Linked DNA regions of Canis lupus familiaris. The protein of the gene in region 1 purifies or fractionates together with the protein of each later gene. This does not show direct contact. Links are inferred from orthologs where the notes say so. Each region holds a gene or a part of one and is shown on either strand. Other genes may lie near its edges.

Region 1 (4,209 bases):
TGTTTGGAGCATAGAGGTACATCAAAATTCAGGGTGTCACCGTGACTAGAAGTAATTTCCACATTTCTTTTTTTTGAACATTATAAGTAATCATTATAAAAGGAATATAATCTTATTACATAGTTTAGAAAACAGAAAATTATTCATTATCCATTCATTCTAAACCATCCCATGTTAGCACTGAAAAATACTTCCTTATCTTCTGCTTCATGTCATATTTTTAACGATTTTTATCATGATTTTAACCTATATTGTCCCAAGCATTTGTCCATGTTGTTATGTAGTCCCTGTGACCATCATTTTAATGACTGCATATTAATCCACCAAGCTGTTCAATTGTTATTTACTTCCCAGATTATTGAGAATTTAAGGAGTTTCCAACATGCTTTTAGAAAGAAGTTCTCTGTGCATATGTGTTTTTTCCTCTCAAAAGTTTGGATTTGGGGTTAGGGGTGAGAGAAGCCTAGTGATGGGACTGTCATAATTCTATACAGATCACTAGCCCAAAGACATTGCAGGATTGTCATAGTACATGGTTGAGGTTCATAATGATGACCCTGACATATGAAGAGAAAAGGTAAAATCATATGGGAGTAAAAATGCATGTCAGAAAGATTCTAATCCAAAATGGTTAACAGTAAGTTTTGTAATTAAAGGGATATATTTCACAAGGGATAAAATTCACAATTCACAAATGTATATCTAGCACTGCTGGGCAAAACATTACAAAGTTTCATTAACTTTCAAAATAGAATATTTTGTGTCACACTGTAAATTTCACTATAACACTAACCTGATATTATTTACACAGTCTTCATGAGCTTCAGAAAGTGTTTTTATGTGCTTTGAAGATATAGGGTCAAAAAGCAGAACTTCAGTCTGTTCACAAGCAACAGTCAGCACTGACCTGAAAGCAAAGGACACATTTTTCTTTAGTTTTCTAGCACTCTCTTATTACTGATATTCACTTATTTATAATTACACAAACTATAATAAATAACTTCTTTTTGCTCATGTTAGAAGCAAATATCTCAAAAACTGAAACTATCTGCTCTTGGCAATAGTAGGAAATGGTACTCTCAAACATTATAGTGGAGCATAAACTGGTACAGCTTAGGTTTGGAGAGTACCTGATGTATCAAACTTTTTTTAATGTGTGTACTTTTTGACTGAGCAATTTTTTATGGGAACTTAATCTAAAGAAATAATCATTTATAAATACAAAGAAGCATATATAAAGATATATTTCACCATAATGAGGAACTGAAAGTAACCTAAATGTACATGAAAGGAGGAATGATTGATTATATAGCCATGATATGTAATACTTTGCAATATGATGCAACATTTATTTTTATTTTATTTTTTAAAAGATCTATTTATTCATGAGAGACACAGAGAGAATGACAGACACATAGAGGGAGAAGCAGGGTCCCGGCGATATGGGACTCGATCCCAGGACACTGGGGACATGACCTGACCCGGAGGCAGACTACTCAATTACTGAGCCACTGAAGTGCCCCTATGGTGCAACATTTAAAAGGAAAGGGATAGTTTCATATGGATATGAAAGAACTCCAAAACATATATATTTTTTGAAAGAGAGAGAGCATACTCCTGAGAGAGAGCTAAGGAGTGAAGTTGGGGAGAAGCGGAGGAAGACGGAGAGAGAGAATCCCAATGCAGGGCTCAATCTCATGCCCCTGAGCAGAAATCAAGAATTAGACACCTAACCCACCGACCTACCCTGGTGCTTCCAAATCATTTTTTAAAAATATTTATTTATTTATTCATGAGAGAGAGAGAGAGAGAGGCAGAGACACAGGCAGAGGGAGAAGCAGGCTTCATGCAGGGAGCCCCATGCAGGACTTGATCCCAGGTCTCCAGGATCAGGCCTGGGGCCGAAGGCGGCGCTAAACCGCTGAGCCACCCAGGCTGCCCCCAAAACATTTTTAAATAAAAGAGCTGGTTGTAGAAAAAACATGCATAGATGAGGCAACTTAGAAAAAAAAAGTCATATATAGCAAAATTATATATTTCTGTATCAATATCTATTAAAATGTACTGCAAAAGGTTTGGCATATATCCTACCAAACCAGTTAGATATAGTCAAACTTAATTTTTCCTTTATGATATTTAGTACTGTCTCATTTCAGACCTTTCCTTTTTTTTTAAGATTTTATTTATATATTAATGAGACAGGCAGAGACATAGGCAGAGGGAGAAGCAGGCTCCCTGCAAGGAGCCCGATGTGGGACTTGATCCTGGATCCCAGGATCACACCCTGAGCCGAAGGCAGACGCTCAACCGACTGGGACACCCAGGCGTCCCTAGTAAATGTTCTTTTAAAATTTTGTTTGTTATTGGTGTACGGAAATGCAATGGATTTTTAAAATTATTTATCCATCAATCTTGCTATTTTAATACTTTATCTGTAAGTTTTATACTTTAGGTTTTGTTGATAATCATACATCTATAAACAAATGCTCTGTTCTTGTTTAATACTTATTTCATTGCTGCACTGGCTAAGACTTTCAGTACAATGTTAAATGCAAATGTGAATGTAATAGGCACTCCTCTCATTCCTGTTTTTTTAAGAATACATTCACCGTTTCATCATTAAAGTACAATGTTTGCTGTAGAGTTTCTTTTCTTTTTTGGGAGTAGATTCCTATTATTGGATTAAGGAAGTTCTACTCAAATTTGCTGTTTTTCCATTAATATATTTTCAGTTGTATAAAATGGTTTCCAACATTTATTGAAATTACCCTAGATTTTTCCTTCAATATGTTAGTGTAGTGATTTACATTATTTTATTTTCTATACTTTTCATTTCTACCATACTGCTTAATTCAGTTGGCTAAAATGGTGGGCTCAATTTCTGGCTTCCCTCCTTTTGTAGATCTTGGTCCTGAAATTTACCTATTGCCTTAATTTTCCAATCTCTTCAAACATAATCTTTTTATACCTTACATTAAATATTTTATATTTCTTCTAGCTTTTCTAATTATTCTCTGTTGAAAGGTTGGTCCAAACCACCTACTCTATTTCTGGAAAGCTACAATCTCTATCTCTTGCATCTGAAATTATGTCCCCTTTTACTCTGAATATGATTTACTTGGGGATTTTTTTTAAGGATTTCATTTATTTATTCATGAGAGACAAAGAGAGAGGCAGACACAGGCAGAGGGAGAAGCAGACTCCATGCAAGGAACCTGATGTAGGACTCAATCCCAGAACTCCAGGATCACGATGCCCTGAGCCAAAGGCAGCCACTCAACTGCTGAGCCACCCAGGTGTCCCTGGGGATTTTTTTTTTTTTTTTTTTTTTTTTAAGATTTTGAGAGAGTGCCTGTGAGAGCAGGAAGAGGGACAAGCAGATTCAGCACCAAGAGCCTGAGGTGTGGCTCCATTCACACACCCGAGTTTGTGACCTGAGCCGAAATCAAGAGTCACTCTGATGCCCAGGGGATTCACTTCATCAATATGAGTGTTTTTCATTTTTATTTGTCTTTTCAAAGACAAGATTTTCTCTGTTGAGTATTTGTATTGAAATTCTACTGTTACTATATTTCCTTCCTTCTGCTTTCTTCAAACTTACTTTGCTATTATTTGCAGATAACTTCACTATTCCCTATTTCAGATGGATACTTAGCTCATTAATTTTCCTTGTCTTCCTTTCCAGTTTATTAATGATTGTAATTTTCCTACTAAGTACAGTTTTACTTACAAGTTTTTTTTTAATTTTTATTTATTTATGATAGTCACACAGAGAGAGAGGCAGAGACATAGGCAGAGGGAGAAGCAGGCTCCATGCACCGAGAGCCCGATGTGGGATTCGAACCCGGGTCTCCAGGATCGCGCCCTGGGCCAAAGGCAGGCGCCAAACCGAGGCGCCACCCAGGGATCCCTACTTACAAGTTTTTAGACATATGGTACTTTCATTATCACTTAGTGCTAAATATTTCTAATTTCCATTATCATTTATTTGGCCCATATGTTATTTATAAATGTTTTCTTAACTTGAAAACACATGAGGTTTTTCTGGTTATCTTTTTTGTTATTCATTTCTAATGATTACATTGTGTTGAGAAACTCTAATTCTATGATAATCTTTTTTTTTTTAAGATTTTATTTATTTATTAATGAGAGACAGAGAGAGAGAGAGAGAAGCAGAGACACAGGCAGAGGGAGAAGCAGGCTCCATGC
Region 2 (4,930 bases), on another chromosome or scaffold:
TTCCCTTGGGCCGCTGTTCAGGGCTGTTGATGTGGCTAGTCCCTTTGAGCAGCGAAGCAATGTCTCCCCCATCCCTTGAGCGAAACGCAGGCTTGCTCGTCACCTGCCACACAAGGGGTGGATGCCTTCTTTGACGCAGGTGCAGGCACCCTTCCGGGCCCACAGGCACTGACAGGCTGACCCCACACCACCGCTGTGCTGAGCTCCAGCCCTTGGTCTCTGGCCAGGAATGCGTGTGTTCCAGGAGCATCCAAGGAACCAACAAGAGAACCTGCAAGCTTCGGGGAGAGTGAAAGCAAAGCAAGCCCTGACCTGAGAGCTGCTGGGAAGTAATCCCGGGGACCGGGGCAACAAAGACCTACCTGTGCGCAGGCAGCTGCCGACCCAGGATGTGTTAGGTACGAAACAGGGAGCAGACTCGTGTGCAAACCCACAGGGTCAGTAAGATTCAAGAGACACTTCCGACCCCGAGATCTGGGGGGGGTCTGCCTGGGACCGAAAGCGCTGGCTGGCTGCGGCGAGGCTGCCGGCCGGAGTGCTGCGTGGAAAGGCTCGGCGTCTGGGGCCAGAAGCTCGGGTCGGAACGGCTGCCCCTGGACGGCCGCGGCACCGCCTCCAAGGAAAAGTGCGAACTAGGGGCCGCCGTGCACCACGGTAAGAGCTCGCCGGCGCGGGAACGAGGGGCGCGGCCGAAGCTGGGGCAGACCCGGCAGGGCGGGCGGAGACCGGACTCGAGGCGTGGGGTCGCGGGTCTGAGCCCGGCAGGCTCGCCCTTGCGCCTCCCCAAGCCCTCGAGGGCTTTAAGACGCACATAAGACGCCAACGAGGGCCTGTAGTCCAACGGGTTCTCAAAGGCCCACCCCGCGGGCACCGTCAGAGGAGAGGCCCGAGGCCCGCGGCGGGGCGGGGGCGGCGGCGGCGGCGGCTGCGGCGGCGGCGACAGGAGCCCCTAAGCCCTCACGGTGCCCCCGAGGACCGCCCCCCCGGCCACACCCCCGAGCGGACGCCGGTGGAGCTTCTCGCATCGACTCCCGCCGGCCCACACCCGCGCCCCGGCCCCGCGTACCCACCTGCTGCAGGTACTGGTTGATGGTGATGTGCGCCATGGCCGGACCCCCCGCGGAAAGTGGGCGTGGGCGGGGCCTGCGCGCGCGGCTGCGTCCGCCTCACTTCCGGCCGCCGGTCCGTCCGGACCTGCGCGCCCCCCAGGCCCGCCTCCCCCGCACGCGGGTTCCGGAGGAAGAGAGTCCGCGGCAGCGTGCGCCCCGGGCCGGGATGGCGGCGCGCCCGGGCTGAGGAAGGCCGCGGCCTGCGCTTCGATCCGCCACCGCCTCCCGGCGAGGACGCCCGGTCCGCGCCCTCTGGGTGCCTGGGCTCCCGCCCGGGGCAAGCTGGGCCCCGCCGCCCCCCTCGACCGTTATACGTTCCACAAGGAGCGCGGCGGCCGCCGGGCGGCCCGGGGCGGGGGCGGGGGCGGGCCGGGGCGGGGGCCGGGGCCGGGGCCGGGGTCGGGGTCGGGGTCGCGCCGGGCCGGCGGGGCGGCGGTTGGGCGGCCGGGGCGGCGCTGACGCGAGGCCCGCCCGCCCGCGCGGCCGGGGAGGCGGGACGGGGCGGGGCGCCCGCTGCTTCCCGGCCGCCGCCATGGCCGACGAGACCCCCAGGAAGGGCGCCCTGTCGGCGCTGGTCGGGCACACCAACGGCCTCACCAAGCCCGCGTCCCTGGCCGCGGCCGCCGTGGCCTCCAAGCCGGGCGGCGCCGGCGGCTCCAAGAAGCTCGTCATCAAGAATTTCCGAGGTGGGTGCGGGGCGGCGGGGCGGCGGGGCGGGGCGGGGTGGGCGCCCCCGGCCGCCGGAAGTGCCCGTCCCGGGGAGAGGGGGTCCCGGGGGGGCGCAGGGGTGGGGGGAGGGGGCGCCTCCGGCCGCCGGAAGTGCCGCTCCCGGTGGGGGGGGGAGGGACGGGGGGGGCTCCCGGCCGCCGGAAGTGCCGGTCCTACGGAGAGGGAATCCCGGGGGGGGGGGGCGCCCCCGGCCGCCGGAAGTGCGGGTCCCGGGGCCTGGGGCCTGGCGCCTGGCGGGCGGCGGCGAAGGGGTGTCCGGTCCCCGGAAGCGCCCCGGCTGTGTCCCGGCTCCGGCGTCCACGCAGCGGGGGCCCGCAGCGGCCGGTCCGCGCCCGGGGCCCCCAGGACTGGGTCATTCCGGGAAGGGAAGCGGGGGGGCTGCGGGCCCGTGAGCGTGATCGTGGGCGCGACGGGGGCGCCGACCCTCACCCCGCCCCCGCCCCGCAGACAGACCGCGGCTGCCGGACAACTACACTCAGGACACCTGGCAGAAGCTCCACGAGGCGGTGCGAGCCATCCAGAGCAGCACGTCCATCAGGTACAACCTGGAGGAGCTGTACCAGGTGAGGGCCGAGGCGGACCCCGCGCGGGCGCTCTTCCCCCCCGTCGCTGCCGCACGGCCACGCGGCCCTCCTCCTCTTTATTTTCCGATCGTTGCGGTTAAGACGCGGAAACGGATTTTGTTACGTCCGAAGATGTTCCGTTTCCAACGTAATTGTGGAAAAGGAGCATTACTTTACGTATTCCGTTGATCAGCAGACCGGTTTTCCTGATAACTGGTTTTCAGAGAATAGCATTCGTTGATTAGTGCGTTACCTACCACCTACATTTTGCATGACCGTGTGATAGATACCTCCGTTTCTATGAAGACATTGGAATTAAAACTTTCTGTTTGCATAACTGTTTGTTGTAAGAACTATGGACATCACAAAAAAGGACAAAAATAAATTAAAACCACCTGTACTCCCGCCACTCAAGGAAGACCGCTATTGGCATTTTGGTGGACATCCATCCCTTCTTTGTAATAACTTTGTATGAGTTTATATTTTTTGATCGACTTTTTGAGGCATAATTTGCATAGAACCTGTACTTTAGTGACTTATATTGAGGTGTAAATGCTGTTATCATGGTAACATACAGAATTTTTTTTAAAACATTTTTAAAAATTTTTATTTATTTAGGATAGTCACACAGAGAGAGAGAGAGAGGCAGAGACACAGGCAGAGGGAGAAGCAGGCTCCATGCACCGGGAGCCCGATGTGGGATTCGATCCCGGGTCTCCAGGATCGCGCCCTGGGCCAAAGGCAGGCGCCAAACCGCTGCGCCACCCAGGGATCCCTAGAATATTTACATCACTTCAAAGAGTTCGTTCTCCTGACCTGGTCCTGGCGGATCACTGACTTCCTTGCTGTTGGTCTGTTGGACCAGTTTAAGTCTCATCGGTGGAACCTGTGTGGGGCAGTTGTCTGCACCCAGTTCCAGTAGTTTGTTTCTTTGTTGCTGGGGAGTACAGCTACAGCCTTTCACCAGGATAACTGACAGTTTGCAGTTGGTAGGAATAAAGCTGTTCTGAACCTGAAGGAATAAGTCTCATGTGGACATGGGTAAATATCTAGAAGTAGTCTCAGAGTCATAAGGCAAGTGTACATTTGACTTTAGGACATTTTCTGTTTTCAAAATGGCTATACCATCTTGTATCTGGGCAGCAGTACGTGAGAGCTCCGTTTTTCTATGTTCTTGCTAACACTTGGTATTATCCGATTTTTTAAGGAATTTTATTCACTTGAGTACACATGTACTGTTCTTTTGTATTTCCGTATGAATTTTATGATGTTTGCCAATTTCTAAAAAATAAAGCCTACTAGCATTTTGATTAGGATTGTGTCAAATTCTAGATTAATGTGGGGAACGTTGATGTCTTGATGGTACCAGGCGTGCCAACTGATGACACGGCACAGCTTTGTTTGCTTTTCCTTGATTTCTCAGTAAGGATTTCTGGTTCTGGTGTGTAGGTCTTGTACATCTTCTATGAAATACTCTTAAGCGTTTCGTACGTTTGGTGGTATTACAAGCAGTAGTATGGTATAAGTTTTAATTTCTGGTTCTTGCTAGTATATAGAAATAGAAATTGTTTTTTGTGTATCACTCTAGTACCCTGCTCTCTTGCTGACCTCGCTTCTAGTAGCTTTTTGTAGATTCCATGGGATTTTCTACCTAAGCAATCACATCACCTATGAATAGAGGTGGTTTCACTTCTTTCTAGTCTGCATGCCTTTTATTTCCTGTCTTGTGTCCCTGCACTGCTCAGAACCTCCAGAACAGTGGTGAGTAGAAGTGGTAAACCCACACTCTCTTGTTTAGCTCCTGCTCCTAGTGGGAAAAGCCTTCGGTCCTTCATCATTGAATATGATGTTGAGTGTTGGGCATTTTTTTGGTGGTGTTTTGTTTTGTTTTGTTTTCTAAAAATACCCATTTGTCAGGTTGAGGAAGCTCCTTTCCATTCCTAGTTTGCTGAGAAATTACCAGAAGTACCTGTTGGATTTTGATGACTTCTTTTATGACTGTTAAGATGATCATATGACTTTTGTTATTTTAGTTCTTTGCATTGTTTGACGTCTCAGTTGGTAAGACCATCCAGCAGTCCTTGGATAAATCTGACTTGCCTAGTGGTGTATGAATTTTTGATGTACTGTTGGTTTCAGTTTGCTAACATTTCATGAGTTTTTGCATTTGTGATCGTAGAATAGTGCTGTCTTGTTTTCTTGTAGTGTATTTGTCTCAGAGTTGCAAATGTTTCCTCTTTTTCCTTTCTTATAAGGGTTTGTATGGAACTGGTGTTCTTTTTTCCTTAAACGTTTGAGAGAATTCCCAGTGAAACCATCTTGGCTTTCTTAGTGGAGAGCTTGTGAACTGCACATATCTTTAGTGGCTAAAGAACTCTTCAGGTCACTCATCTCTTTGGATTCACTAATCTTCTGTGACGTCTGATCTGCCAGGACTGCCATCTGGTGAAATTCTTTCTGGTGCATTGGTTTTCTGTCCAGGTGCTCAATTTGAATCTTTTCTGTATCTTCCCTTGTCACTACATAATT

What was found. The genes of interacting proteins can lie anywhere in the genome.
Region 2: the proteins of DCAF10 (region 1) and CUL4A purify together in Homo sapiens (affinity purification with mass spectrometry; 4 studies listed by BioGRID and IntAct, with this or other methods). This does not show direct contact. The link is inferred for Canis lupus familiaris from reciprocal best matches to the Homo sapiens genes DCAF10 and CUL4A.

Annotation. Positions count from the first base shown.
Region 1 is NC_049232.1:54,446,713-54,450,921, reverse strand, and holds part of DCAF10 (DDB1- and CUL4-associated factor 10), read right to left. Parts: intron 908-4,209; coding exon 794-907; intron 1-793. UniProt on the Homo sapiens protein: May function as a substrate receptor for CUL4-DDB1 E3 ubiquitin-protein ligase complex.
Region 2 is NC_049243.1:60,780,243-60,785,172, forward strand, and holds the start of CUL4A (cullin-4A), read left to right. Parts: upstream 1-1,624; 5' UTR 1,625-1,641; coding exon 1,642-1,795; intron 1,796-2,285; coding exon 2,286-2,401; intron 2,402-3,057; exon of another isoform or gene 3,058-4,930. Other genes in the region: PCID2 (PCI domain-containing protein 2), read right to left, coding at 1,071-1,106. UniProt on the Homo sapiens protein: Core component of multiple cullin-RING-based E3 ubiquitin-protein ligase complexes which mediate the ubiquitination of target proteins. As a scaffold protein may contribute to catalysis through positioning of the substrate and the ubiquitin-conjugating enzyme.